Alligator mississippiensis: one gene and its partners. The protein of the gene in region 3 purifies or fractionates together with the protein of the main gene of each other region. This does not show direct contact. Links are inferred from orthologs where the notes say so. Each region holds a gene or a part of one and is shown on either strand. Other genes may lie near its edges. The genes, in order: COPG2, ARCN1, COPA and COPG1.

The links.
Region 1: the proteins of COPA (region 3) and COPG2 fractionate together in Homo sapiens (co-fractionation; 4 studies listed by BioGRID and IntAct, with this or other methods). This does not show direct contact. The link is inferred for Alligator mississippiensis from reciprocal best matches to the Homo sapiens genes COPA and COPG2.
Region 2: the proteins of COPA (region 3) and ARCN1 fractionate together in Homo sapiens (co-fractionation; 4 studies listed by BioGRID and IntAct, with this or other methods). This does not show direct contact. The link is inferred for Alligator mississippiensis from reciprocal best matches to the Homo sapiens genes COPA and ARCN1.
Region 4: the proteins of COPA (region 3) and COPG1 purify together in Homo sapiens (affinity purification with mass spectrometry; 6 studies listed by BioGRID and IntAct, counting the BioPlex papers as one, with this or other methods). This does not show direct contact. The link is inferred for Alligator mississippiensis from reciprocal best matches to the Homo sapiens genes COPA and COPG1.

Annotation. Positions count from the first base shown.
Region 1 is NC_081827.1:5,731,132-5,738,715, forward strand, and holds the start of COPG2 (coatomer subunit gamma-2), read right to left. Parts: upstream 3,011-7,584; 5' UTR 2,967-3,010; coding exon 2,891-2,966; intron 1,615-2,890; exon of another isoform or gene 1,520-1,614; coding exon of another isoform or gene 1,456-1,519; intron 1-1,455. Other genes in the region: tubulin alpha-3 chain, read left to right, coding at 6,916-7,138, 7,367-7,515. UniProt on the Homo sapiens protein: The coatomer is a cytosolic protein complex that binds to dilysine motifs and reversibly associates with Golgi non-clathrin-coated vesicles, which further mediate biosynthetic protein transport from the ER, via the Golgi up to the trans Golgi network.
Region 2 is NC_081839.1:34,978,743-34,985,742, reverse strand, and holds the start of ARCN1 (coatomer subunit delta), read right to left. Parts: upstream 3,015-7,000; 5' UTR 2,907-3,014; coding exon 2,853-2,906; intron 1,162-2,852; coding exon 898-1,161; intron 1-897. Other genes in the region: IFT46 (intraflagellar transport protein 46 homolog), read left to right, coding at 3,822-4,355, 4,437-4,613, 4,786-4,913, 5,498-5,572, 5,668-5,761, 6,205-6,333, 6,725-6,846. UniProt on the Homo sapiens protein: Component of the coatomer, a cytosolic protein complex that binds to dilysine motifs and reversibly associates with Golgi non-clathrin-coated vesicles, which further mediate biosynthetic protein transport from the ER, via the Golgi up to the trans Golgi network.
Region 3 is NC_081838.1:15,764,749-15,771,847, forward strand, and holds the start of COPA (coatomer subunit alpha), read right to left. Parts: upstream 3,012-7,099; 5' UTR 2,944-3,011; coding exon 2,904-2,943; intron 1,536-2,903; coding exon 1,422-1,535; intron 886-1,421; coding exon 812-885; intron 475-811; coding exon 394-474; intron 1-393. Other genes in the region: NCSTN (nicastrin), read left to right, coding at 3,160-3,277, 4,743-4,847, 5,535-5,658, 6,976-7,094. UniProt on the Homo sapiens protein: The coatomer is a cytosolic protein complex that binds to dilysine motifs and reversibly associates with Golgi non-clathrin-coated vesicles, which further mediate biosynthetic protein transport from the ER, via the Golgi up to the trans Golgi network.
Region 4 is NC_081835.1:19,921,553-19,928,845, forward strand, and holds the start of COPG1 (coatomer subunit gamma-1), read right to left. Parts: upstream 3,015-7,293; 5' UTR 2,908-3,014; coding exon 2,871-2,907; intron 1-2,870. UniProt on the Homo sapiens protein: The coatomer is a cytosolic protein complex that binds to dilysine motifs and reversibly associates with Golgi non-clathrin-coated vesicles, which further mediate biosynthetic protein transport from the ER, via the Golgi up to the trans Golgi network.

The DNA of each region.
Region 1 (7,584 bases), on a different chromosome or scaffold from region 3:
TCAGCATACGGAGCCATCACATTCACATGTCCCCAGAACAAACCCCTGTCATGTTGTCTGCTACAAATCACAATATAATTGCTAACACTAGCCAGCCTTAGTCAAACTTTCAGACGACCTTCCAGAAAGTCCTGTCCTTAGAAAAGGTAGAAGTTACATAACAGAGCAGCGCATCCCTCTGAAACGTTACCAGGTATCTACAGTCCAGGAGGCAAACGCTTACCTACACTATTGTTGGCAAAGTTACACCACCTCTGCTAAGCTCCTGCCACCATCCAGCCTACGCAGACACACCTGTGCCTTTGGCTGTAGTCCCTTTGGCATCTGGTGCCCTGTTCTCAAGTCCCACTTCCTGCTGTGGCCTCACAGCTGCTGAGCGGAGCCACACAGTGCTGTAGACGTGTTTGGACACCTATGTCATCTGACAGCTGGTGGTCTGTCCGCTGCCAAGACTTCTGCCAGCAGAGACACGGATGTGGAAAGGAGGCTAAATCTGTCAGCACAGGTAAGTACAACAGATTGTAAGAGACTTCCCACTAGCAAAGGCCAAGGGGGGCAACCTATTTGGCCCCACCACATCTCCAATTTCAGGAAGAGTAAAGGAACTTGGATTTCTACCATGGCATCAGCCCTAAACCCTTGTTTGAGGCTCTGTATCAGCCTCTGGGTACCCAGTAAGTTTATAACTTGAAACCTTTCTATTAGTTAAGAGACAGTAAGGTTTTTCTATTGCCTCTTTCCATGCCAGACCCTCCTAGTTCCTGCAAAAGAGGGACAGGGGCTCTATTAATCCATCCCTCTTACCCATGAGACATCATATTTTGAACTGTCTTTCATGGATTGTAGAGAAGCAAGGCTGGGAGGGACCTCCAGAGGTCATCTAGCCCAATCCCCTGCCTGAGGCAGGATCAATCTTATCCAAACCACCCTAGACAAATCCATACTCTGAACTCTTCAGGAAACTAGTCAATCCTGACGCAACACAAAACACGGCGCCCTAATGTGCCACGAGTAAAGCCGGGGGACCACGGCAGCCAACGTCCTGCTGCTACAAGAGTTGTTACAGCGGACCTCACTGCTCCCTACACAGGAAGACAAACACACCCACGGTCTGTTCCTGTCTGACCACGGGTTAAAGCTTCTTCCTCACTCCCGATATGGTATCAGTCTGCCCCCGAGCGGGGGGACCAGACTGTCTAGGAAGGAACCTCTGGCTTCGTCCCAGCAGAAGCACTGGCACGGCCCAGTCAAAATCCCCAGCCCTAGCTGCCGCCAACATCCCACGACTGAGAAAGGCTTTAAAAAAAACAAAACACAAAATTCCTGACACTTACAGCAGCAGGAAGGAAAAAAATCCCCTCCCAGCCCAATGCAGAAACCAGCAAAGCTACAAAACCTGGGAAATACCCCCAGGAAAAACACAGGCATAGCTATGCTAGTCCACCCCCGACCAACCTCCGCTCGAACACCTCCAGTGACGGAGAGCCCACGACTTCCCTGGGTGTCTGCTCCACTCCATGTCCTATCGCCAATCCCAGTTCCTGTTTCTCAGCGTCTCCAGCAGCAACATGACATTAATCAGAGCCACCCGTTTCACTGCTCTGCCAAGGATTCCTCACGATAGAAACAAAACGATCTAAATCATTAAAAGTTACCTTAAAAGCTACGCTCTGCTGCTGCTTGGCAAAGCGCCGAGGAGAACCACCCGAACCGCTGCCCCTGCGCTTGTCGGCAAGGAAACGACGCTTACAGCCTCCCAGCGGCATCTTGGCCACCTTCGCAACCGCACAGTTAGGCGGTTTACTGAACGAAGACTGAAATCCGGAGGGAAATAACGGCTCATCCACCCCACACCCGCCCAGGAGGGAATTCAAGTCGACTGTCCAAACCTCGACTAAACCGTTCAATCTTAACAGGCGGACGCTGCCGCGGTCTGCACGCAAACAGCGAGCACAAGTTAGACAGGGCGCTTTTGAGCCTGATAGCGAGCAGCGCTGCGGAGATCGGATGAGGCAATGCCAGCGAGCTCCAAGTATTTTCTGTCCTGGGCAGCACGGAGGTTGCCAACAAGGCGGTCAGCAAGCGCCGGCTGCGGATTGAAGGTTATTTTTACCCAGTGCACACCCGGCCGGTCGGAAAGGAGAGGGAGCTGTGCGCGGGGTAAGAGGAGGCTGATTTTGGGGCATCTGATGCATTGTCGCGTCACGGCCGATCAACGAGTTTCGACACGGCAGCTCCTCCGTTCAAAATCCTAGACGTGTCCATGCGCTGCAGGTCGCTCGCTGAAGTCTAGGGGGTTCCAGGTCTGCGTGACACGGCGCGCCCGCGAAAGGATCCCGAGGCACCTCGGGGGGGGGCTGAGAATCACTGCTTTAGCCTCACAGAGACCATAGGTCGGTTGAGAATCACTGCTCTAACCCCACTGACATCGTATGTCCCCGTATCACCCGGTTGAGAATCACTGCTTTACCCCACTGACACCATATGGCCAAGTACTGCCTGGTTGAGAATCACTGCTTTAGCCCCAGTGACACCACGTGGCACCATACACCCAGTTGAGAATAATTGTTTTACCCTGCTGACATCATACCCGCTGACATCACACATCCCCCATATCACCCGGTTGGGAATCATTGCTGTACCCCACTGACATCACACATCCCCATGTCACCCGGTTGAGAATCAGCGCTGTAACCCCACTGACACCATATGGCCAAGTGTCACCCGGTTGAGAATCACTGCTCAGGCCCTGCAGACACCATCGGGGCCCCTAGAACGCGCACGACGGCGGCCGGGAAGGGCCCTCCCCGCGGGGACAGGTCCGCTACTATCCCAGCAGCCCCTGCGCGCGACGGGCGCGACTGGCCCGACACCGCTCTACGTCACAGACCCGGAAATGCAGCGGGCCGGCCGCCCCGCCCGCCCCTACCGGCCTCCTCGTCCTTCTTGTCGAACTTTTTAATCATGTCGCAGCCGCTTGCTGCCCCTCGGAGGTGCAGCCGCGAGGGAACTTCCGCCGGAAGACCCGCCCCGCCGTCTGCCGCAGCGCGTCTTCTCATTGGCCCGCGGAGCTGCCTGTCAGAGCGAACGCTCGCCGGCTGAGAGAGGCGGGACACGCTCAGACCGGGATGGGGGGGAGGGGGGGCTCTTAAAGGTGCAGCGGCCTTATTTTAGAGCTGAGCCCACGTGCACTGAGTCCAGCTGGCCCAGCCAGGGGTGAAGCATGCCACTGTGCCCCCCTCACTGCCAGGCTGCACAATGTCGCCCTCCAGCAGTCAGAGCCGTCCTGGTGCAACAGTGCAGGGCTGTTTTCCTTGCTCCCCTTCATTCCCGTCATGGAGCAGAGCATCCCTGGGCAGTGCCCGCCGGGTCCGTTCAAGGGCACGTGCCCCCCATGCACCACCCTGGACCCATGCACCGCCCGGGCTGAGCAGCGCCTGCCCCTCCATTCCTGCCCTCACTGCGGGGGCCTCGATCTGTGCCCCCTTCCCCCCATAGACTTACCTGCAGGGAGCTGCTCTCTCTATTTCCCAGCCACACGCGCGTGTGCAGGCGAGCATGTGCACGTGGCGCCCCCAGCTCCCACTGCATCCTGCACCCAGCAGCCCCTTGCAGGCTGCAATGCTTCCCGCCTGCAAAGGGAAACCCACCATTTCCCAATTTGCAGACGCCAATCCATGTCGAATGCCGTCCCGCAGTCCCACAGCCCAGATTGGCACTTGAGGTTCCCATTGCAGGACTGTCCCACCCCATGCAGGACGGGCGGTCACCCTAGTCTGGCATATCTCCCCTTGGCACTATTTATTAACCTTGGACCATCACTCCCATCCCTGGTTTTTTATTATTTGTCCCCAGCAATCGCCTTTTCTCTAGCCTCCCCGTCTGAGGGGGGAGAATAGGTTACCTGGACATCCCTCAAGGTGACAAATAAGCCTGTTTACCCTACAGTGCAAATGTCTGACCCATGCTCTACTTACTTTGCACCTGTGAGTTCACTGGAAGTCATAGTTTTGGGGGGGGGGTTAATTTAGAAGGAAAAATTTGTGTGTCAAATTAGCCAAATCTGGTGCAAATCCATTTGAACCATCCAAGATGATGTGGTCCTGCTACCGGCAAGTAGCCTCCACCCCAGCCTTAGGCTTCAGATACTTCCAAATCCTTTGGTGGGCATCCTACGTGCAGGCCCAAGCCTGGAGGCTTGGGGTTCGGATGCCCCCGAGTTTCGCTTGCCCTCAGCCGCACGGTGGCAGGAACAAGCTGAGGAGGAGTGAAAGATAGAGGGGTTTTTTTGTTTTTTAATGAAAATTTTCCATGTTCCAAGCCGAATCAGCCAAACCGAATTCCAAATCTGTGAGTTAGTTAAGAACCATAAGTGGTCCTATTGCCGGCAAATATCCTCTACCCCTGCCTGGGGCTCCAGATGTTTCCAAATCATTTGGCGGGCATCGTACGTGCAGGCCTGAAAGTCCCAGTGGCTTGGCTTGGAGGCAGGGGTTTTCCTTGAATGCATGCCGGTCTCCATGCAAAAGCAGGGCTAAGTCCTCCTTGCCTCCAGCTAGTGTGAGGTTGTTCTTTACAGCTGGCCTGGAAGACGGCAGATGCCTCTGCGTGACTTCCTTTATCGTGGAGAAGTTCCTGCACATCAGCTTCCACGCAGCTCTTGGCAGGACGGCACCTTGATCCAATGGCAAGAAGGCCAAGGCAACCGGGGTCTCTTCTGCTGCAGCCTTTGCAGCTGTTGGGATTTTAACACCTTCTTCCGCCTGCTCCGCGGTTGAAGACTCGTTGGCCCATAGCTGGGGGTCTCTGTGGCACACTCTGCATGGCTTCATCTTTTCCATTTTTATTATTACGCTAATTAAGAAGGATAGGGCCTATTAGCTCCTGTAACCCACTTCCTTACGATATCAGGAGACATCCCTCTGACAGATGACACAACAATTATAAGATTAATACAAAGCTATTTCTTATTTAAAAAACAAAGCATTCACCATTTTCTTTGGGGGATTACTATACATCATACCTGGGTGCTTTTCCCCTCATATCTAAGGTAAAATGCCTTGGTTTCAGCTCCTTATCCCTTTCTTTAATTAAAAACAGGCAAAATATGTGCTGAATTTTTATAAATTGAATGTCTTTTCCTTTGTTTTGTTCGCATTAGAGTGATACTTAGAGTATTAGAGCGATGCTTTTATGTCCCAAATACTAGCATAAGCCAGGTTCTGTCTTCCAAGCCCAGGCCACTAATAGCACACATACACATCGTTACCCAGTTGTTTAAGTTTTATTAAACCACCCTGGTCAAAGGAGAAACAAAATTATTTCCCCTTTAAGAAGCTGCTCTTTGCACAGAACAGCTGGGAGGTTTTTTCAGGAGGGGTATAAAATTAGTCAGTGGAAACACTAGTAAGATGGTGTTTTTGCTTGTGGTTAGTTAGTTGGTTTGGGGGTTTTTTGGGCCATGGTAAGTGTTGGCGTGTAGCTTTTTTTTTTTTCCCTATTAAAGTTGAGAGAGCAGATTCCTTTTCTATAGTTAGTTGTTCTGTTTGGGAGTTAATGAATTAGGAAAATAACGTTGATCTGAAATGCTTCTGCCTACTGTGGTTAGGAGGAACAATTGGTGCTCTTCTCAGAGAGCAGGTATCTCTTGTGTTGTTTGCTGCACATGTTTGATAGTGCTTCAGCTAGAACCTGTCTGCACTCTCTTCCTACTCTGCCAGATTCAGTCCTAGTTGACTAAACTTCAAAGTAACTCAAATTCACTCTCCTAACTAGCCTAGAAATATGTAAGGCTATTTCTCTTCTTTACATATGAATGCTGTTTCTAAGGTTAACTAAAAAAACTCTATTTTGCCTGAATGAATGAATCTAATGAAACCACAGCTCTAGGAACAGTAGCCACACCAAAATAAGTGTTATTTGTCCCATTATTTAAACTAAATAAGCTTCAATTTGTGTCTTTAGGCATGCTAGTGCAACTCTAGGTAGCTGTGATCTTTGGTCTTTTCTGAGATGTTCAAAAAGATACCAATGTTGGGTAGCAGGGGGGAGCATGAAGCATGTTGAGGAATGGTCATTTGCAATTGTTCACACCTTGAGTATGAATTTATGAGCATGTTGTTGAATGGCTTTATCCCCGAGTTAAAGGGAAAACCATATCCTCCCATCCTGGGGAATTCGTGATGTGTGGCTCTAGGAACTGCTGGATCTTCAGGGTTTTGTTCTGCTTTGTTTTACTTGTAGCTTCTGCTTCCTACAATTGGCAAGGGGGGCATGGAGGAAACTTAAGTCTACTAGTTGCAAACCCCTGAAATAAACTTTGCTAGCTGACCTCTTATTGAAAAGAGGAACTTTCCTGTAATGGCTTTGTGTAGCTGTCTCCAGTTGCTTATGGTGGTGGCTGGAGAGGGAAGTGGGGGACACACACGCAGTCCAGTTTCTGGGGCCAGAAAGGCCCATTAGGGTGTGGACTGACCTAACCCTTAGGCTGGTTTAAGCCTAGGGTGAACGTTTGGAGCCCCTTTCAAAAGGGGAGCACTTCCAAAGGGCAGCAGCTGGTACCTTCTAATTGTGTGTGAACACACTGAGAGCAACTGAAGTGCAGAACTGGCTCCACTTTCAACACTCCTTCATCCAGGGTTAAAGTTGGAGTTGTTTTGCTGCACTTGAACCCTTTTGATATATCTGCCTATAAGGGTTAACATAACTTTTAGAAGTTTGTGCATCCACACCCATGAATTACTGTACCTAGTTTGACAGCCTGTGTAGCCCAGGCAGAAAGGGCCGAGATTGCTGCCCAGTCCTCCTGGAGTCTTTTTTCCATGGGTGAGGAGGTAAATCGAGTGAGAGAGTAAGGGGACAGTTAAGAAGTGTAGCATCTTGGTGTGACTTCATGTTGCTTCTCTCCCCAACTTTATGCAGAGGGAGTGCATTTCAATCCATATTGGCCAGGCTGGAGTCCAGATGGGCAACGCCTGCTGGGAATTATATTGTCTAGAACATGGGCTCCAACCAAATGGTATCATTTCGGAAACAGCTGAACAAACTGACTCTTCTTTTGGGACCTTCTTCAGTGAAACTGGAGCTGGGAAGTATGTGCCCAGGGCAGTGTTCATAGACCTGGAACCCACGGTCATAGGTAACACACATGGCTGGCTTTAGTCTGATCTGTCTGTGATGCAGGCATGGCTATATTCATTATTGGGGGTAATAGCACCTCGAGATCGAAGTCTTTAAATGCAGCATATGGTTGGTGTGTGTAAAAAAAAAAAAAAAAAAAAAAAAAAAAAAAAAAAAAAAACAAAAAAACAAACAAACAAAAAAAACAAAAAAAAAACAAAACAAAACTTGTAACATGCTTTTCCAGGTGAGATCAGAACTGGCACCTATCGCTCCTTGTTCCATCCAGAGCAGCTCATCACCGGAAAGGAGGATGCAGCCAACAACTATGCTCGGGGTCACTACACTGTTGGAAAGCAAATAATAGATGTGGTCCTAGACAAGACGCGTAAGCTAGTAAGTAGAAATGCCCCTAATCTCAAAGGAAACTTTATATATAGATGTAAATAAATTGAATATGTAAAG
Region 2 (7,000 bases), on a different chromosome or scaffold from region 3:
GACTCTGCGCTAAGTTGCTCCTCCCACCACACTACAGAGCAAACTTATCTTGGTGCTGAACCCTGGCACAAGGGCTGGACATCATTTATATCATAGTCTGAGGGCCTGAGTGAGACTGAAGTGGCAGAGAGGCTTTACATAGATCTGTTACTGAAGTCATTTCCACCCCCAGGACAATGTTCCTGTGACCCAGCCTTAAGTGACCCCAAAATGCCAGACCAACACTTCTTTAATGCCATAATTCCAGTTCTTCCACTTGCTATCCAAACCAGTTTTCACAGCACTGGAAATAAGCAAAGTGTGGTGATAAGCTGCATGATTTAATAAGTTGCTGAAGACTTTTTAAAAGACTAAATGGAGCTATAATCCTCTGGTTCAGTGACCTTGTAATCCACAGAAGCCTGAGCAGATACTAGATCCCGGGCTGTGCTAAGAGATAGCCAAGACAGCTCCAGAAATTAGTTGGCTGATGGACAATTATAAAGCTTTATAAAGACAACACTTTGAATAAATATGCAAAGAGGTTTTTAAAACAGCATTACTAGTATAGCAAGAACATGCAGTAAATTCTGTTCACACCATTTTACTTTAATAGCTGGTATGAGGGTTTTATTTAGAGCTCTACACACTTGTTAGCTTCTTATCTTAGTGGAAGAGTAGCTTGTTTTTGTTTAAATCTCAATTAAAACTCACTATGTGTCCTACTTGGGCCAGGGTTAGTACAAGAGCTCGCAGGAGCAGGCTCATTAACAGAAACAGGCCACAAAACAATCGGATTGTTTTAAGAAGGCAGAGTACTGCAGGAACAGCTCTCCAATGCAGCACCTCCTAACACTTCTTCCAGGTCAAAGAGCTTACAAGGTTTGTACTAAGCGACCCAGAAGTAGTAGTAGTTACCACTCTGGAGAAGAGCCGGAGTGTTTCTAGGTCCTCTAGGATGTTGCTGTTCTTGGTGGTGATCAGAACCATGTACAACTTCTCCATTGGCTGATACACATAGCGCACGCTCTCTGTTTCCACAAATGTGTGCTGCTTCCCCGTGTTCATGAGCTTGGGGAAGGCTGCCAGCAGCCCCTCGATGCGGGTTCGAGTCATCTCCACGAACTGCCTCGAGACAATGGCCTTCCCTGCCTTTGTGCAAACAGCTGCTGCCAACAGCACCTGCAGCAAATACAAGCATCATTACTACCACTCAGCAGGCAAACAGATTTTCTGGGCAAGTGTCTTCTGAACGGTACTGGTCTATCTGTGAGGAAAGGTCTCTGACCAGAGGTTTGGTTTCTGCATTCCTCTGTATGGTGCCCAGCACACTTAGCGCTCAATGAAGAAAGTATTTACATGACCCTATTTGGCACAGCAACACGAACCCTCACAGGAGGGACCCAAACCTGTGTTCCTCTTGAGACATGATCCAACCCACCTTCCCTTTTCCTTGCTCCTCCCACCCCCCAATCCAGTTCACAACACAGCTCAGCCACCCGCAGTTCTACGCAGGCGTTCACTGCAAAATAAGATTCACACATGTAAAAGACAGCAAATGCCACCTGCTAGGGCAAAGGAACTTGTATCATTAACAGCCTTCAGCTGTTGAACCAATAGCTCATGCATAGATAGGCAAGGAATCGTTGTCCAACGAAGCGCGAATGGCAAAACAGCACTACAAAAATATTAACCTTCTATAAAGCTGTTGCAGTAGTTTGGACATTATTACTGAACAAGTCCAAGTGGCATTTGCTACCTTTTATAAGCCTACAGTAGTATTATTAAATCAATCTGAGACTGGCTCAGGGTATTTCTCGGGTTCCACTGCGTGTGCGCATAAAGCTTCAGGTCACTTAGCCATCAGCTGTTACCTGAGCAATGTTGCTTTTTGCAGATAAGTGTTCATTTTTACCCACTGAAGGGATTTTAGCTCCAAAATTTAGCTTCTGGACCTTCTTTTTACTGAGCTTATTTTCAAATGTTTTTTTTAGTGGCCTGAGGAACTACACTGCATCTTTGTGGTACTGCAGGAATGCCAAGGCACAGAACTAATCAAAAACACAAAGCTGAGTGCCACTGTCCAAACCAAATGAAATGCAAAAATACAAAGGCAACAGATAATAGCAGGAAGTTACAAAACTGCTTTTAAACTGAGATTACAAGCGTTAACAAATGAGGGAATGTCTTTAACTACCGTTCCTCTCTACAGGGCCCATTTCAAAAGTCAGCTATGCTTGTACTGGATTTGTTAATAAAATATTAAACAGGACATTAATGCAGCTCACAGAATGCTCCACTGGACTTTTCAGAGATACTGTCATGAAAACGGTAATATGAAACGTGGCGAAATAGTGACTCCAAACATTTCCTTCTAAAAGAATTTACTTCCACTTGAACGATCAAAGTTTCACAGAGACTTTACCATTTTTTCTTTACTTAGGGCTCTTTGGTAATGAGACAAACACTGGCAACTATCAAAAAGACCTATTTGAGACATCAGTCCAACACACGGCCATAAGTTTTCACTGTATGGGCTCCCAGAGCTGGACGGGGTGTGTGGATGCCTTGAATGAACTGCTTAAATCCTCTCCAGGCTACAACAGCTTTATGGCAGAGCAAATCCCTTGTGAAACAAACAGGCAGAAGTGAGCCTCGTGCACTTCCCTCGTCCGCGGGGCTCAGAGACCAGCTCCACAAACATGTTTTGCATCACTAACAAGACACTCTGCTTTCAGGAGCACCCCTGTACAGAAGGGGACAGGCAGCCTACGTGGGACCGGGGGCCTCCAGCAGATAAAGACTGCCGACTACGAATGGAAGAGGCAAAAGGAGGACTCCACAAGAGATGAGACTCTGCACCATCAACTCACCTGACGGAAGAGGTGGACAGGTGATGGATTACTTGTGCCAGGTAACAGACACATTAGAGGTTATGAAGCCGCAGGAACCTGACCCAGTATCAATCTTAAAGGGCCTTTAAACTACAAAGCATTTGATCCAAGTTTATATGAGGGAGGCAGAGCTCGCCGCGCACAGGTAAGAAGTGGTGATGTGTCACTGTCACATCCTGATCGCTGACAGAACGAATTCGCAACAACAGAACCACTTCCTAGACGTGGAAAACAGAAATCAAACCAACGCGATTGAGGCTTGAACACGTTCCACAGCTGAGCGAGACTCGGTGGCTCTGGACATTGACCTGTTCGTCTTGATTCGACACAGGCAGTATCCCGATAAGTGTGTCAGGAGGGGGGGAGGGGAGCCGCGGGGTGCCTACCACCAGCCCGGCCATTGGTCTCAACCCTGCAAAGATCAGAACGATAAAAATCCTGTTTCCCAAACGTTCGACCGACACAAATAACTTGGGCCCAGACTCCCCAGAAAGACCCTGCACGCAGAGATATGAGGACCCGTCACCTGCGGCAGCCTGCAAGAAACGTCTCTGTCAGTTCACGGCAGCCCGAGGTAGCGAGGGGCAGACCCCGCTTGGATTCCCGGGGCGAGACCGAAGGCGTACAACGCACGCCAGCGCCCGAGCCGGGCTGCGCGGGACGCTGCACGGACCAGCGCGCCGCCACAGCCCCGACCCGCTGCAGCAGCCGCCTCGTCTCGTGTCGTCTGTGCCCCGCCGCGCCGCGGTACGGGCGCTTCACGGCCTCGCTTCTGCTGCCTAAACAATGACCTCCCTCCGGCGGAAACCAGACCCCGACTAAGGATCCGCGGCGCAAAACTATGGCTGAAGTGCTTTCCTCCCGGCCTCAGACAGCCGGGCCGGGCCCGGGCCATGGCTTCGAGGAGCGCCCGCCCGCCCGGGAAGAGGAGGGAAGCGCCGCGCGGGCATGACACGGCGCCGGTCCGCGGGCCTGGCGGGGCCGGAGCGGTGTGGAGGCCCGGCTCGCGGAGGGCAGCGGCGGACACGTCCTGCCGCGGCCGGAACAAAGGGCGCGGGGAGCGAACCCGGCCCGGCCGCACGTGCGCAGCGCATCCAGCCGGTGACAGCGGGCCGCCGCCGCTCGCCTCGGCCCCGCGGCCTGGCGGGGGGCGGCGGCGGGCCCTGCCCGTCCCGGCGACAGCCGCCGCGGGCGGAGGAGGCCCCGGCCCCTTCCACTTGGCCGCAGGCGCGAGAAGGGCCGCGGGTTGCCGGCCGAGCCCCGGCCCGGCACCGCTTACCATGGCGGCGGTGGCGCGCGCGGCCCAGCCCGGCCCGGCCCCGGCCCTGCTCCGTCCTCCGGGCCCGCAAGATGGCGGCGCCGAGCCACGTCCGCAGCCGGAAGCGCCGCCTGCCCCGCCCCGCCCCCCACCCCCGCTCTCGCGAGACCCGGTCGCCACGGCAACGGCAACGGCAACGGCCCGGCGGGATGGCGGCGCTGCAGGTAGCGGGGCCGGGCGGAGGGCTGGGCCAGGGCCGGGCGGTGCGCGGGGCTGGGGCCGAGGCTGAGGCGCGTGTGCCGCAGACGCGGGCGGTGGAGAACCAGCCGTACGACGAGAGCCTGGACGCGGCCGACGCCGAGGAGGAGGCCAGCGCCGCCAGCCCCCCGGGGCGGCCGCCCTCCGCCCGCGCCGCCGCGCCGCGCCGCGCCCCGGGCCCGCCCGACACCAGCAGCGACGAGGAGCGCGGCGCGAGCGGCCGGGTGAGGGGCGCGGGGCAAGGGGCGCGGGCGGGAGCGGCGCGACGCCCCCCGGCCGTGTGGCGGGGCGGGGCGGGGGGAGACTAGGCCGGGGCGGCCCACGGGCGCTCGCGGCCGGGCGGGGGTGTGGGTGTGGGCGTGTGGCGAGCGCCGCGCCGGGCCGGGCTGTCCCCAGCAGAGAGCAGCGCCGCACGCGGCCGCCCCGCGAGGGTTCAGTGCGGACGAGGACGAGGACGAGGACGACAACTCGTCTGAATCGGAGGAGGAGGAGGAGGAGGAGGAGCACGGCGCCCCGCTGCAGGGGTAGGAGGCGAGGGTGCCCCGGCGGCGGGCGAGCCTCATGCGACCCGGCCGGGCCCAGACGTGGAAGTGCAGCGCTGGAGCCCTTCCCCTGCCCGGTCCTGCCCCGCATTCATCCCGGGCACCCCAGCCCCGCGCCCTCCTGGCCGTTTCCCTTCTCTCTTCCCCTGGCAGGAGGGCATTGCGTTCCCAGCCGGCGCCGTGTGGTTGCCGCGGTGGAAGGGCACGGCCCGAGGCCGGGGGGACCGTGGGTCCTTCCTGCCCTGTCGGGCTGCGCGGAGCGAACCGGGACGGCCCGGGCTCCCCTGCTGCAGCACCCGTGCGCGCCGCGCCGCGCCGCGCCACGCAGGCTAGAGCCGCGCCTTGGACTTGCTGAATCGGAGGCGCGAGCTTTGACGAGCAAGAGCGCGCTTCATCCGACGCGGTCAGCTCTTGCTCACCAAAACGTGTGCCTGAGCCTTGGCTCCTGCCCGCCGTCAGCCCAGCACAGCTCTCCGCTTCTGCACACTTTTACCAGATCCCGTGTCACGACAGCGTGATCGGGACCTGTCAAAACAGACTGCATTGGCGTCTCTCTCTCTGTTTAGTGCCTACAACCCAGCAGATTACGATTATCTACCGGTGTCTGCCGAGATTAAAGAACTCTTCCAGTACATCAGGAGGTGAGTGGAGGGCACGCGAGGATCTTCCGCTGGGGGAGGAAGCGTCTTTCCCGGCCGCGTACTCGAGGAGGGTGCGCTCCCCTGCCCTCTCCCAGGTACACCCCACAGACGGTAGAGCTCGAGCACAGCCTGCAGCCTTTCATCCCAGACTTCATTCCAGCCGTTGGCGACATCGATGCCTTCTTAAAGGTACAGCACTGTCGGGTTTCCCTGCAACTCCTCCTGCCCAGCTTCAAGCAGGGCCACCTCCTGCAGGAACCGTCGTAGCAGAGGGAGGGGGAGACCACTGGATTTTTCTCGTTGCTGGAACAGCAGCAATATCGCCTTGCCCGGCGCAGGAGTAGGGACCTGCCCAACTTCCCTTGGTGCATAAGCTGTTGTAGGACATCCATGCAACCAGTTCTCCATTGACTTCCATTAAAACAGGCCATAAGTTCTAGGGGCAGAGACTGCATCTTTGCCTGTGTCTGTTCAGTGGGTAGCTTGACTGGAAGCTCAAACAATCCATATCTCGCACATGAGCAGGTTTATCCATTCCTTCTGGAGTCTAGAGTTTCCCATTTTAAAAATCCTTCACCCTCCTTCGCTTTGGATACAGAACAAAAACAATTGGTTTCTTTCTTAATTTGCAGGTTCCACGTCCTGACGGCAAACCAGATAACCTTGGGCTGTTGGTACTGGATGAGCCGTCTACAAAGCAGTCAGACCCTACAGTGCTCGCTCTCTGGCTAACAGAAAATTCAAAGCAGCACAGTGTCTCAGTAAGTTGCCAAGGGAGGAAAGCTGTTAATCCCATGCTAAGTGTGGTATAAAAATGAGTGTCTTTCTAACCTGCATGGGTGTTCTGATTAGTCTGATGGGGATTTGGATCTGGAAAAAAATTTTCCCTTAAGCCCAGACACTTGGATATGTTTGCAGTTGGCCACAGGCCCCTCCTGATCAAAAGACTTTGGATCCATTTGTTTCCTTCCGTCAGGGCTTTGCTCCCCGATCTGGTTGTTGCTGCCTTTGTCACTGTGTTCTTTCCCTGCTGATCTTTTGCTCCAACGTGCAGAAGTGGGATGGCGTAGAGCAGCAAAACCACCTGGCCCAGTCAGAAACAAAGCCCGCAGGCCTCAGCACGTCTCTCCAGATTCTCATTTCTCTTTTCAGCAGCAGGTAAAAGTGAAGAGCTTGGAAAATGCTGAGAAGAATCCCAAGGCCATCGACAACTGGGTTGAGAGCATAAGTGAATTGCATCGCTTCAAGCCACCTGCCACTGTGCACTACACCAGGTGAGCTCTGCCCCCTCATGCCACCGTAATCTGTGCTGCTTGATCCTTCTTGTCTGGCATGCAGAGAGGCCATTTCAGTGCCTGGTAATCTGCAAAATCTTGTTCCTATCTGCTTTGTCATTCAGACAGTTCTGGCCGTCTTGCTAAAAAAGGG
Region 3 (7,099 bases):
AGGCAGGAATCAAGACTTTCTTTACGACTGAACAGCCCTCAGCATATTGTGTTAATCTGGGATCCTAGTTTTCTCCAATTTAAAAAAAACAAAACAATTTCTAGATTTAAAAAAGCAATCCAAAATCCATATCTTTCTGTGATTAAAAATGAAAACCACTAATATATAGATATCTATAGTGCGGTTTCATTTTAATCACAGAAAAAATGTGGATTTTGGGTTACTTTTTTAAACCACAAATGGGAGATTCTTTTTTTTTAATCAGAGAAAACCAGGAACCCTTATGATTACTACCATAAAAGAAAAGCAGACAGAGAGTATTTCCTCTACAGAAAATGAGGCAAGGTGCATAACAATGACTTATACTTCAAGTTACACTGCAGGAAAACTTACATGGTGGAAGAAGGTGGTACGAATGTAATCCAGGTGTCCCAGCAGGGTGAAAAGGCAGCGGCGTAGCTTATAATTCCAGACCTGGACAACAATAAAACAAAACACTGTGAGAGGCTTGCCAAACTCAGCCCCGATCCTTGCTGACAACTTGTTCTGGACCTGCAAGAAGCCAGCTGCCTCACAGACTATAGTCTCTTTCATTTTACATGACCCGAGTCAAGTGAGAAACAGACCTCATCACTAAGTTTAGCTCCCCGTGATGCCCTCCTGAGCTCAACTTCACCATTTCCATTGTCTTTTGATTTTTTATTATTAGGCTCTAAGCTTGCACGCATGTTTCACACATTTTACAGCTTTCCCATGCTCTACTACACACCCTGACTCTTTGGACAATGGGAAGTAGGAAGGAAGGTTTTACCTTGATTTTGTAGTCATCACCTCCAGAGACAAAGAGAGGTTGCTGTTTGTGGAAATCAATACCACGGACAGGTCCTGCAAGGGGAAATGGGGCATGTGAGACACAGGGATAGAGCTAATAGTTACATCAGCAGTCAGCGCAAGCTATCACTTCACTTGAAGAAGAGTGCAGCTCTATCACTTCCTACTGCGTTTCAATGGATGAAGTAACGCCTCAAAGTGACAGAGCAGCTTCCTAAGACCTCCTCAAAGCAAGTTTTCTTCTCTCTACTGGGCTTTTCTAGCCACATCAATATAATACCTAAGAATCTATTACACGTCCAACAAAGCTATCCTTAAGACACCCCTGTAAAGCAAAGCAGCATTATCTTCATGTTACAGCTCAGGAACAGTGCAAAGAGCAAGTAATTTGCCCAAAGCCAAAGACAGAATATGCAACACAGCTAGAATTAGAAACTAGACCTCTGGAAGCCCAAACCTGGGAATCAAGTAAAAGATCACGCTTCTTCCCCTCACATGCTTGTCATTTTCTGCAAAGTGCCTGCTGCACTTCAGTCTCTTCCTGAAGTGTTATCTCCTACATCCCCCCCTACTCCAGCTCACACACTCACCATCGTGCTCATCAAATTTGTCAATGAGGGTGCACATCCGGTAATCCCACAACTGGATCACACCATTGTGCAAACTTGTTAGGATCCAGGGCCTCTTTGGGTGAAAGCTGAGCCCTAAAACAGACAGACAAAGAAATACATAGGGGTCAAGTTTCCAGTTAAGTGCAAACTCTGGAGACAAAGATAGCAGTGGAAGCAGGGAAGAACCAGTCATCTGGACCTGCCAGGTCTCAAACACAGGATACAAGTGGCTGTTAAACTCCCAAAGAGGAAGCATGCAAACATACCTTGCTGGGAGGTTCATAGGTCATAGCTGCTGAGAGATTTATTGCATCATAGTTCTGATTACAAATGAGTTTCAGCAATAAGAACGAGGAAGCATCAGCTCTCTATGAACATTTGGAAATAAACCTGGCACAGCCCAATTGAGATGCTTAAAAAGCACATCCTCAAGCACCACATAGAACATGATCATCATCAGTGTTAATTTTCAGGCTCTTCTCACCTTGAGATACCCCAAAGGGGCCTCAGGGTGGGTAGAAGTCGTGGAATCACAGACAACGAGGGCTGGGAGGGACCTCAGGAGGTCACATCAAATCCAAGCCCCTGCTCCAAGCAGGACCAGCCCCAACTCCATCATCCCAGCCAAAGCTTTGTCTAGCCAGGTCTTAAAAACCTCCAAGGATGGAAATGCCACCATCTCTCTTCCACCTTCCTAATAAGACAATTTTTCCTAATATCCAACCTAAACCTCCCATGCTGCAAGTTAAGACCATTGCTCCTTGTTCTGTCATTTTCAAAAAAAAAAAAAAGAAAATTCAGGTCCTTCCAAGGGGCCACAATCAGGCACCTAAAAGCTTCACTGAAAACATCAGCTAAGGGCTCCAAGATAAAGGCAGGCTGCTTTACTCCCATGTGCCGCCAATGGCTTTTTTTAAAGCCTCCCAGCGCTGCGGGGACGGATGTGCAGACAGAAAGCAGCAACTGTCACCGGTGGTAAAAGATATCACTGACATCTACCACCCACGAGCTCGTAACACCGGCCTAGAACCAGCAACGAGCTAGGAGTTAACAAACATTAAGAGACACCAGACCCAGGGGTTTCAGGAGACTGGCGCTGCCAGCCAGGCCCCGGGGCTGGACTGATAACACCCCTGATGCCAGCTGAGAGGGGCAGACGCTGGGGCAGATGCAGAGGGCAGAGGCAGAGGCGGGGGCAGGAGGCAGCAGCAGGGGGGGGAAGAGAAACCGGGGTCAGGACTGGGGTGTGGGGGAGCCCACGGGAGGCAAAATAGCGTGTGAGGGGGGGCATGGAAACTGGGATGTAGGTTGGGGGAGGGGGGGGTGCAGGGGATGGACATAGGGAAGAGTGGAGCAGGGCGCTGGGATGGGCCCGATCCTGAGAAGCGCCGTGCTGAGGGAGGGGCCTGGACTTGAGGGGAGGGTGCTGGGATGGGCCCGATCCTGGGGAGGCCCCGTCACCTTTCACCCGGGCCGACTTGGTCTCGAACTTGGTGAGCATCGCGACCCGGCCCCGACGCCCTCCTCGGCCTGGCCTCCACGTCGGCACCGGAACTGCCCCACGCCGCCACTTCCGCTTCCACCCCGGCCCGCCGGAACCATAGAGAGCGAGTCCTCCGGGGCGGAAGGAAGGGGTGGGGGGGTGCGTCGTGCGCAGGCGCACTACCCCCACCCCCTTTTCCCCCGGGCAGGGGCGGAAGCGGAAGTGCCAACCAAGATGGCGGTAGCGGCGGGGCAAGCCGGGGGGCTCCGGCGGGCGGGAGGAGGAGGACCCGGAGCCCCGTGGGGCGGCGGGGCGCTGCTCCGCGGGATCCTGCTCTGTGTGGCGGCCTCGGGTGAGTCTAGCTGAGGTGACCCCCAAGCAAAGCCCTTGGCCGAGGGCGACGGAAAGCCGGGCGGTTCAAACAACGCTGCTTTGCGTGCTGTTTTTCCCTCCCTCCCCCAGAGCACTGGGCTTGGCTCGGACCTCAGGGCAGGACCACGCTCAATACGAGACCGCGTCTTCCCCTCGCTCTCCTGACTCGCAGGTTCCTTGCAGGCGAGCCCAGCTTCAGCTGCGAGACTCGAAACGTTCGTTTCGAGGCCGTTTCAATGCCCTTCGTTTCGTTGCTTCGCTTCGAGCTCCAAACGAAGCAGCCGGCAAAACTTCGCGTAGCCCCGTGCTTCCTCCCGTGCGTTTCCTTCTGCCGGCCGGGGTGGCGCTGCCTGCTTGTAAAGTCGACCGCACGATTTTGGCGGATACAAAGCAAAAGTGGCAGACTAACTGACACGCTTAACGTGGCTCCAAGTGGGTTTTTAGATGCTGTTGCGAAGCATTATAAAGCAGACAGGCAATGCATTGACATTTTAAAGGTATGCCAGAGGCAAGGAGTTTGGGGTTTATCTCTTATTGGACCAACTGCATGGTTGGGATAAAGCTGGACACGCTTTTGAATGCAAGGTGTTCTTCCGATGGTCAAAATGTACAGAAGATGCAAAGGCTTGGTGAAAGGTGGATTCTCGCCGCTCCTGTATCAGGAGGATCATTGGTGATCAGTTTGCAACTCAGCCTGAGACCCAGCTGCAGGGAGTCGGCGGTGAAAGCCTGCCTGGCTGGGAGCAGCTATAAAGGATAACCAGGAAGTGCGGGTGGGGATAGAGAGGGAGTTAAGAGCTCCAGAAGCGAAGAGCAAGAGGGAGGAGGTGGTGGTGCCTGGGGAAAAGTACAGAGCCTGTCTCACTCCTCCCAAGCTCTGAAGGAAGGCTGCAAGTTTGGGGTTTGCCATTTGCATGTTTGCTTGGTTTGTTGATTTTCTTTTTTTTGTGGGGACAAGGCTGCCCCATGTAAAATAAACTGTCTGGAAACCTTGAACATGGTGCTGACTGGCTTTAATAAGGAAGCTGGGTGAGTGACCTGCTTCCAGTCATGATAGTAGAGAGGGAAATGTGGGCATACGAGCAGTGTGACCTTATCTGGAACATCCCACTAAAGTGGGTGGTGCGATAAAAGAAATTGCTCCCCGAAAATCCTTGCCTCTGGATAAAAGAGCTCCTGGCTCCCAATCCTGGCATGGTCCCCTGAAGCATTTTTTAGTGGACCCATCACGGGTGTTGTGTTTCTGACGTGCATTTGCAGTGATCATCACATAGTGCTCTTTGCTGATTTTTTTTATTTTTTTTTTTTTATTCCGTGTGTTCCTAAATAAACCAGTCAATGTACGTTCAGTATTTTTGGGCAGGGACAGAGGTAACAATTGTCAAAGAATGCTAAAAAATAATCTCTCCATCCTGTTCATCTTCAGTTTTGTCCTGCCTTTTCAGGTTCTTGTTGGGGTAATTCTGTGGAGAGGAAAATCTATATTACCTTAAATAAGACTGCCCCATGTGTTCGTCTCTTGAATGCTACTCATCAAATAGGCTGTCAGTGTAAGTATGACCGAGCACTTGTCTTTAGCAGTTCTTCTCCTTTAAGCTGGGAGGATGCAAGATAAGGGAGACGTGTGTACACCTTAAACATATGGGAAACCCTCAGATCCTATGCCTTTTCTGATCAGAGTTGTCCCAGAAGCAGACGCAGTTGAAAGAGTAATATAATGTAACTGTTTGCTTTGAGTTTAATCAGTTGGGCATCTTCCTTTTCCTCTCATGTCTCTAGGCTAGTATTTTAAAGCTAGATAGGTTATAAGCTTAGTTTAGTTTTGACTTTGTGCATGTGTGTGTTTGTGTGCTGTCAAGGTTTGGGGTTTCTTAGGCTGGGAAGAGGAGGAAGACAAATAAGGAACGCTGATTTTGAAGGGTTTCCACATTGTGGTTGGTGAAAGGGCTTCCTGCCAGTTAGCATGTTGCTGATTTGTGGTTGAACATCTTGTTTCCTCAGTAGAAGCTTTGCCCCACAGTGGATCTTGTCTGCTGTGGTTAAAGGATGGAAATGCACATGGTCTAACAAATAAGCTAGCATAGAGGGGTTCTCCAGCTCTTCCAGGCCGTGGGGTGAGCCATGGTTTAATTCAGACTGCCTTCTAGTCTCCTCCCTTCCAATACCCAGGAGGTGTACAGCTTTGAGGGAAATGGATTTCACTGAAACATGGTGATGTTGTGCATGTCTCTCTGCAGCCTCTATTAATGGAGATACAGGAGTGATCCATGTGGTTGAGAAGGAGCAGGACCTGAAGTGGGTGCTTTCAGATGGACCCCATCCTCCATACATGGTCCTGCTAGAAGGGGAGCTCTTCACCAGGTAATGGGCCACTGTCAGTGCTAACAATTATTGACCCTCCTCTCCTCTGAGATGACAAACAGGGGCACTGTAATTTGGTGGCCAAAACTCTGATTAGGACTCCAAGGAGAGATGCCTGTGGCTTTTTCAGTAGCCTCAGGTGGAATTTTAACCCAAGCAGGGTGTTTGAGGGACAGCCTTCCCATGGCTCATTTTATGGGTTGTTGCGCCCTTGCCACCCTCCAGAGAAGGCAGTGCTGAATATCGGTGCCTTGTTTAAAAAAGCATTTGTGCATTTGATGCGAGTTAGTACCTTGCTTGTTTGTCTTAATGGATGGTTTAGTAGTTCGAACAAAACTCAGGAGCCCAGTTCTACATCCATGGCAATTTGTGAACCCTCCTTAGGGTTGCGTTTACAAGCACTGGTAGAGGCTGTGAGGAAGAGCTTTAACGTGTAGTATAGAGCCTTAGCATAGCCTTGGAGGAATTATTTACATCTCAGCCTTTTTGGTAAGGTTTTGTTTTCCACTACAGTTTGAATTTCTATCTCTTTCTTCCTTCAGCACAGGATGTCATTTAAAAAAAATAGTAATGTTTAGGGAAGAAAAGGCCCTTTTCAGGGAGGGAAGCAGCATGTCAGTAACATCAATAACATTTGTCTGTTTTGGCTCTCGTTCCTATTGTCAGATGAATGAAGTCCTTGGCCATCTCTCTTGGACTTGACATTTGAGCTGAGAGATGCAGTGCCCAACCCACTTTCTTGTCCTGTCTGGGTCCGCAACTGGCCAAGTGGCCTGAGTGGGGGTGGGGAAATGACCTTCCCAAGGGGCTTGACACATCATCCAGCTGGGTGTCAGCAGTGCAAACCATGCAAGTGCTACATCACTGATGAGGATGCACGGTCAGCTTCATCTTTCCTTGATTTCACTTGGTGGTACCTGATCCTGGTCTGTGCCTAGGTCATGGTCCTATGCAGTACGTGGGTATTGGCTATCTGGAGTTGTGCTTATTCCCTCTGTTTTCCTGTTTCCTAAAGAGTTCTTCCTGGTGTGAACTGTGAGTGGGTGATGGAGTGGATTGTGTCAGTGGAGTAGGTGAGCTGTGTATTTAGTGTTCCAGTCCACTGCTTAATGATCGTGTAACCTCAGGGAAGTTGCTTTGTGCAGCCATGAGACATTAAAAAGTACAACTCTCAGGAATGCCGCAGGGACTTCATGAATATTTTTATTTATTTTAATTATTTTTCATGAGGGTCTTTGATCCTTTCACTGTCTTCCCCTCTGAGATCGGTAGAGTATGCTGGTCTGTTTTACCCCCATTTCTTTTTTTTTCTTCCAGGGAGCTATTGCAACAGCTGAAGGGAACCTCACGAGTTTCTGGGCTGGCTGTGGCCCTCTCCAGACCGAGTCCTTTACCAGGATTCTCCCCTGGCTTAAAATGCCCCAATGATGGGTTTGGTAAG
Region 4 (7,293 bases), on a different chromosome or scaffold from region 3:
GAAATCAATCCAACATAGCCATAAACCCACAAAGCTCTACCTCCCCATCCCCCCGGTAAATCAGGACTGTGTTAGACTCTGCTCCATCATGCAATCAGCGGAATCCATCAATAAGCTATTTTTTCAGATCTACAGTTAATTAAAGCGAACAAGGCAGTGGACTGGACAGCCTGGAAATAGAGTCTCTTTAATCATCCTATTTAACAGACCAAACGCTACTTGATGAAAAACATCAACAATTAGAGCTGGAACGCTCACAGGGCAAGAACTACAATTATGTGTAGCATCCATTATCTGCCCTTCTTGGACGTATCAGCGAGTTTCAGCCTTGCCTGAGTTGGCAGTTATTGATAAGCAATTTTCATTAGTGCCTAAACTCAATTTGCCATGTGGACCCAACATGACCCAAAGCCACCCTCGCTCAACACTGGTGCTGCCTGCATTCAGTATAGTCCCTGACATGTAATGCCCTGTTATGATCTGGCCCTGAAGAATTGTATAAGGGAGAAGCAGTCTGTGTGAGACTCAGATCTATACTTAAAGGCACTGGTTCCTTTCATGTAGGCAAGAGATACCCCTCCACCTTGGGATCCATTCACCAACACAACATGTGGCTGAACAAAGCTTAAATGTGCAGATGAAGAGAGAAGGGAGACGACAAGAGAGGAGCGATGAATGCCAGTGTTTGTAGATGTACGTACTCCAAAAGCGGGTTGAATAAGCTCACCTAGCAGGGAAGGCTTAACAGCATCCAGTGCCCCTAACTCTGCTCACTCCTGCAACCCAAGGATCACTTTGGCTTCTAATATTTGTAATTCTCAAACCTGTCATTAATATTACTAACCATCATCAATTGCTTGACCCTTCTCCAACTCCTTGCACCTAAGCATCTTAAGGCATTTTATCTGTGTTGACTTAACTACTAAAGCATCCTGCAACCCAAATAATTATCCCCATTTCAGAGATGGGGAAAACCAAGGCACATAAGTTATGGGCTACAGTTACCAAAATGACCTCTAATTGAGTACTGGTTTGTGGACATGCTTCCGCTGACCTCCGCGGGGTGTTGGGAATGCTCAGCACTGCTACATGCCTTGCACTGGACACTCAGAAGTTGGGGCCACTTTTGAAATTGCCCTTACATGGCTTGCCCAGGCTGCATAAGAAGGATGTGGAAGAACTGGAAAAGATCTCTGGTCCCCTGACTACCAGGTTTTACCCACAAAATGATCTTCTCTGTCCTTTTACGATTGGATGTACTAGACTAATCTGTGAGGTCAGTAAGCTAAGGGACACGCTACATCACTTAAACCTGAACTTGGCAAGAGTTCAAGACTGAAAGAAATCCTCTGTGGATTAGCTTTTTGTTGTGCATGTAGCTCGGAGAGAGGAAACTTCATTTAACATGGAAAAGCCTAATGCAAACAAGCACCAAGAACCAGAGCAAAAATATTCACGTGGACTTGGAGGGTCTCCAAGATGTGCAGGCCGGGTGGATACAGTAAATAAAAGCTTGTAGGAAGCAGGGTGAAGTACACTGAGGTGGACAGAGTGCCAAAGCCACAACACAAAGGACCAATCGCATCTTCAATCAGCCTCCTTAACAGCCTCTCTGACATTTGCACAGACCATGAGAGGCCCTGACATGTGTCTTAGGTGCCATTATATAGAGTCCCTGGAGAGAGAGCCCAAAAAACTAGTCCCACCCCCAAAAGCACAAAATCATTAGGATCGTTAGGAAGTACTGAGCTGAAGGAGAAACAGGCTCAGAGAAGGCCCAAACCTATATCAACAGGTCTGACATGCATCAAAATAGAAATCATAGAGAAGAGCTGGAAGGGACCTCTGGGGTCATCAAGTCCAAGGAAATCCCTTCCTGGCAGGTCTGCTGGGCAACCTCCACTTGGCTCTGGCCAAGCTTGTCATCTACCAGACTTGGAAGGACACCCAGGGTGGAGCCAACCTGGGGACCTGTGGGCAGATCTTCTTCCTCCACGCATATCTCCAGGCAGTTTTACTGGGCAGCATTTGCAGGCTCCCTAGATGCATTCAAGGGCTGCTTTCCTGTCCTGCCTTTGTGTTCACGTCTCCAGGCAGAGTTTCACTGGCTCCTTGGACTTGGTGGTGAGCCAGTGGGTGCTGGCCAGCGTGCTCTGCTCTGTGTCCCTCCATGGTGTGCCCCTTTTAAACCTCTGATCTTCACTCCTGTCCCCATTTTCTTCTTTAGGTGTCCCCAGCAATAATGTCATGTGCACTTTGTGGCACCCCATATTAAAGGGGGGCTTGTAGCTTTACATGGTGGGCATTAGCCCGCATTCCCAATGCACACCACATAGCCCTGGATGCGTTTGAGGAGCAGTGGGCACCAGCTGATGTCCCCCGCTCCGCGCCCCCCTCCAATCCCTCGTTATCACTCCAACCCTCGCCCCTGTCCTCCACGATATACCACGGTAGCACCCCCTGTTGCTGAGCATTTCCAGGTTGGCCTGGCCCCGTGGAGCCAGCCAGCCTGTCCTTGCAGAGGTGGAAACACCCCTGGACACGGATGGCCGAGGTCAGGTTCCACGTGCAGAGAACGTACGAACCCTGGGCAGGATCAGCACCTGGGGCAGGCTGTGTCGCCAGCCCTGGCACTGCACCTGGCAGGGGATGGGGCAGCAGTGCAGCCCGGTGGTACCTCCAGCAGGGCACCAGGACGACAGCAGAGGGGCACCGGTGTGGCCCGGTACCTGCAGATGCCAGCCCAGCATCACCGCAGCCCCTGCCCCTGCCCCACTGCAGAAAGCCCTGGCCCTGCTGTCCTTGCATGGGCAGGTGCCCCTGCCCCGCCCATCCCCACCACCAGGGGGCGTCCTGCGGCCGCGCCTCACCCGACTCCTCGTCCTTCTTATCGAACTTCTTCAGCATCCTGGCGCAGGGGGTGGGGGGCGCGTGGAACGCAAAGCCCGGCACGGGGGGCAGAGGGTCGCGAGCCCAGCAGCGGCGCCACTTCCTGCCCGCACGCCACTTCCTGCCAGGCTGTCACTGGGACACCTCAGCCCGCCCGTCTCGCGCATGTGCGCACGCGCAAGGCGCCCGGAGCCGTCACTCACCTCGACGTGGCCGGGCGAAAGGAGGGGGCTGCGCATGCGCTATGCGGAAGGTGGTGCTAGGTGGTAGGCGGGGCACGGCCCAACCCAGGGCTGCGACCCGAGAGGGAGGCAGCCGGTTGCGCATGCGCGGGGCGGTGTCCGGCGCTGGCGCTGGGTCGGGACGAGGCTGGTTTGTGGTCTGGGGCAGGGAGCGGGTTTTAAATATGAAATTGGAAGGTCAATTCCCGTATTTTCTGAAAAACTGTCATGCACTGAAACAAAAAGTGTGCACATAAGACTTTTTAAAGTGACGTCATGTTATGTGGTCGCTTCTGCTGGTGTCATCGCAGGCTGCGCCCCCCTGCTTGGCACTGCCCGCTCAGCCTTTTTTTGCAACTATTTAGTTGGTCTAATAAAAGAGACCTCCTCTCCCCAAAGACTTGGCCAGGAGGTTTTGGTTTAAGTCTTTCTCCAACTGCGGGTTAAACTGAATTTATTACTGCGATTGTTCTTGTCTCTGTTTCGCGGCTCGGGGCTGCGTCTTGTAAATCTTGTACGCTTTATTTTGCAGCAGGCTGTATTAGGTACGTGCCTGGAATTTGCAAGCGAGGCAGGCGCAGAACCCCTTTGACTTCCAATCAATTTAAGATGTTACATAGTATTTAAAATAAAGCTCTTAGTATTATTACACAATGGGATTTAGCGATGTGTTTGTTATGCAGCTACTTTCTATTGCTCACTGTTTAAATCTCCAGTTAAAGATAAATGGCAGATATGACTCACTTTATTCCTTCTCAAATTCCAATTCAATGCGAGTGAGAACGGGTGAGATCATAGGATTAAATAAACTAGTTCAGCTCAGATTGTCGGTGGAGTGACTTACTTGGTTTTTTTCCCCCAAATATAATGATGTGAAAAAATTATTGTACATTTTGAACACTTTCAGTATTATCTGTTGTACAAGGGTTAAAATTATCATACAAATACAGTTTGCGTGAGCAGACTCTGGAACGGACTCCCAGCAGGGGTGGTGCAGGCACCTACTCTGGAGGTCTTCAAAAGGAGACTGGACACACACCTTGCTGGTGTTATTTGACCCCAGTTGTCTTTTCTGCCCAGAGCAGCAGCCAGTGGTAAGCACCTGCAGCTGGGAGCCCTCTCAGCTGATAGTGCTCCCAGCCCCAGGGGTGCACCTGGCTACATCTTCCATTAATGGTGTGATAGGAACCAGACACAAACTTACTACATGTGTTTTGTGGAATAATTTGGTGCCTTATTCCTTATGTATCATATCACTGAATGATTGAACGTGTGGCCAGGTTACAACTTAAGATGTGATTAACTGGTTAATCATGCTTGAAATGTAACGTGTGGCAGGGGCCAGAGTAATTTAGCACTATGAGTCCTCAACACCCTTGGCTGCCTCTGTCTCAGTCCATTCCCCTCTCTTGTGTGCCTGTGTGGGATGTGGCATCCATTGAACATTTCACTAACAATGGTTTGGGAATGAGAATGGACACAAAATCCCATTAAAAAATGCAGGACCAAGGGTTTCTGAGGGTGCTATCTTTTATTGGACCAACTGCCTGGACCATCACAGCTACAGCATCACTCCAACACTACTTAAAAATGCAGGGGCATTTAGGGAAACCTGGAATTAATTCAGTGAAATTCAGCCAGGACACGGCTGTGCACCTCCCATAATGACTAAAGGAAGGCAGGGCTTACATTTTACATCTCATCTGAAAGCCGACACTTCCAGCAATGGAGCACAGCTCCGCCTAGCGTCATGCTACCAGGCTGTTCAGCGCTGATTCAGACTGAAAGGTGTTACCTACCACTATAATCGCTGAGGATTGCTATAGCCCCACCTGTGAGTGAACACCCAAGGACTCTCCCAGTTCAGATCCAGTCCAGCTCTGCTCAGCAAGTGAGATGGGACATCCGAGTGGGTCATGGCACTGGCTGCATGTCCTCCATCCTCTCTGGACGGAGAGGTCAGACTGTACAGAAGCCGCATTGTGGGGAATGTCATCATTCTCTGGAAAAATCATGGCACCTAGGAGTCTAAGTGTTGGCAAAAGGAAGCCTAGCTGTTACTACTCACCCCTAGCACTGTTTATTGGTAGAGTTAGCACCTGTTGCTGAAACCTCCAGGCGCTGCACCAATTTATCTTACCTGCCTGACCCTCTGAATCACAAAGTGCACAGGAGCCCTTCTTAAGAAACATCTTGCCAGATACTGTAACTTTGCTGCTAGCACCTACTGCAAGGATCTGTAAGGAGAAGCGTACTTACCAGTGATCAAGTAGTCATCAAAGAACATGGCAGTGTCCAGAAACAGCTGCAGCTGGGCTGAGGAGGGCTTCTCCTTCCAGCCAGTCCTTTACCTGTCCTGTGCAAACAGGCAGTGGACTTTGTACCTGGTGGCTGGTCCCTGCTCTCTGCTGTTATCTCAAAGGCTCACCAAAGACGTGGGAGTCAGGGTCCAGCGGTGAAATGTGACGTTTCACATTTACACACAGTTGCATTCATGGCTGGCAAGAGCGTTGTTTCTGCTAAAACCCTGGTTGGAGACCCAAATAAGACATGTGGAGCAAGTGGGGGGAGGTCAAATACTTGACTGACATAAACTGGTGCCATTTCACTGCTTTCCATGAACCAGGTTTAATTTGGCTCCTATTTCTATTGCCGAATGACTCTGCTTTCTCTTTATTCCCTATACACACCATTGAATTTGGTCAAGGAGGATTTGAACATGGCTTGTTGCCAGAGATTGTCACTGCTATACCTGGGTCAGCTCCAAAGCAGTTGTTCAAGGGCTTTGCACAATTACATCCTGCTAGATGGGAACTGCTCTCCTTGCGGCCTGCTATCATCACAGCAGTTCCTGACCCACATTGTCTCCACTTCACTCTTGGTCCAGAAGGACCTCACAAGAGATAATTTTACTCTTCAGTCAGTTGACAACCGCAGGGGTGACTTTGCCTCTTACTTGCCACCTTACTCCCAAATGACTTGCACACTGCCAGCATGGTACACTTCTATCAACCCCTGGCTTGGTTACTACCCTATTCAGGAGACAAAATGCCAATAGAAGGAAGGAGCAACTTGCTGCAGCTTCACTTATTTCTGGGCTCATCTATTGTCTGGTCCCCAACGATAGAGATGCATGCTACCTTGGGGGACAGGGTCCTACCAGGTTATGATGATGCAGTCAGATGTGACATACTAGTCGAATGGTTATACAGACAACAGAAGTGTTTGATAAGACTCCTTTTATTTTACATATCCCATCTTTCTTTGCACTCTCTCCTAAATTCTTCAGTGTGATAAATATAAACTCTCTTATACAGGAGAATGAACATCTTTTTTTTATAAAGAGAGATGCATAGAGATAGCAAGAAGGAAACACATTTAAGACCTTGTATTTCAAATGTCTGGAAACTGGCATATTTAAAAATATACAGCAGTACAGTGTATTGGGTGAAGTGCCAGATTTGGTAGCCTGAGTCACAAAGAGACAGTTGTCCCTGCAGCCGGAGGGAAACCTGTCTAGAGAGAAATCCAGAGGTCATGTCTGATCCCATAATGTTGTAAGCAGGAGGTATTGTTCTACTGCAACAACAGAGCTACGCCGACATAAAGGGAAGAGCCAGGCCTAATTGACTTGTGTTTCTTTTCCCAGGGTCCCAGAGATTGCTGAGACAAATATCCATTGTTCCTGTCCATTAGCTCTTAACCTGTCTCAATTTCCTGTAAACCTCACCTGTCAATTTTGCTTTCTGTATTATCCCCAGAGTTGTTTCATTTTCTGTCCAAAGCACAGGGAAACATTCTCCTTAAAGATCAACTTCCTTTCGTTAAAACAAAACTGTCAAGAAATAGTTTCTTGCTAGGGGCCCCCAAGCTACCTGCCAGCCAGGGGTTGGGGGCCAGGGATCTGTAAAATGTTGGCTGTCGACTGGGTCAGGAGACGGGAGCAGCATTTATCTCATTTTTTGCTTGTTCTGTGTCACACAGCAACTCTGGTGCCTCTCCCACTTCCCACATTAGTCTGACAGAAGCCCCTGGGGCTGTTTGGACTTGAAAGTGGCTCCAGAATATGCAGACAGAAGGTACCGTGGATTCCCAGGCCCTCCTCTCTGCTTGCTTGTTCCCTGACTTTTCCATACCCGACCCATTATTGATCATTATCCTCCCAACACCTGTGAAGTAGGAA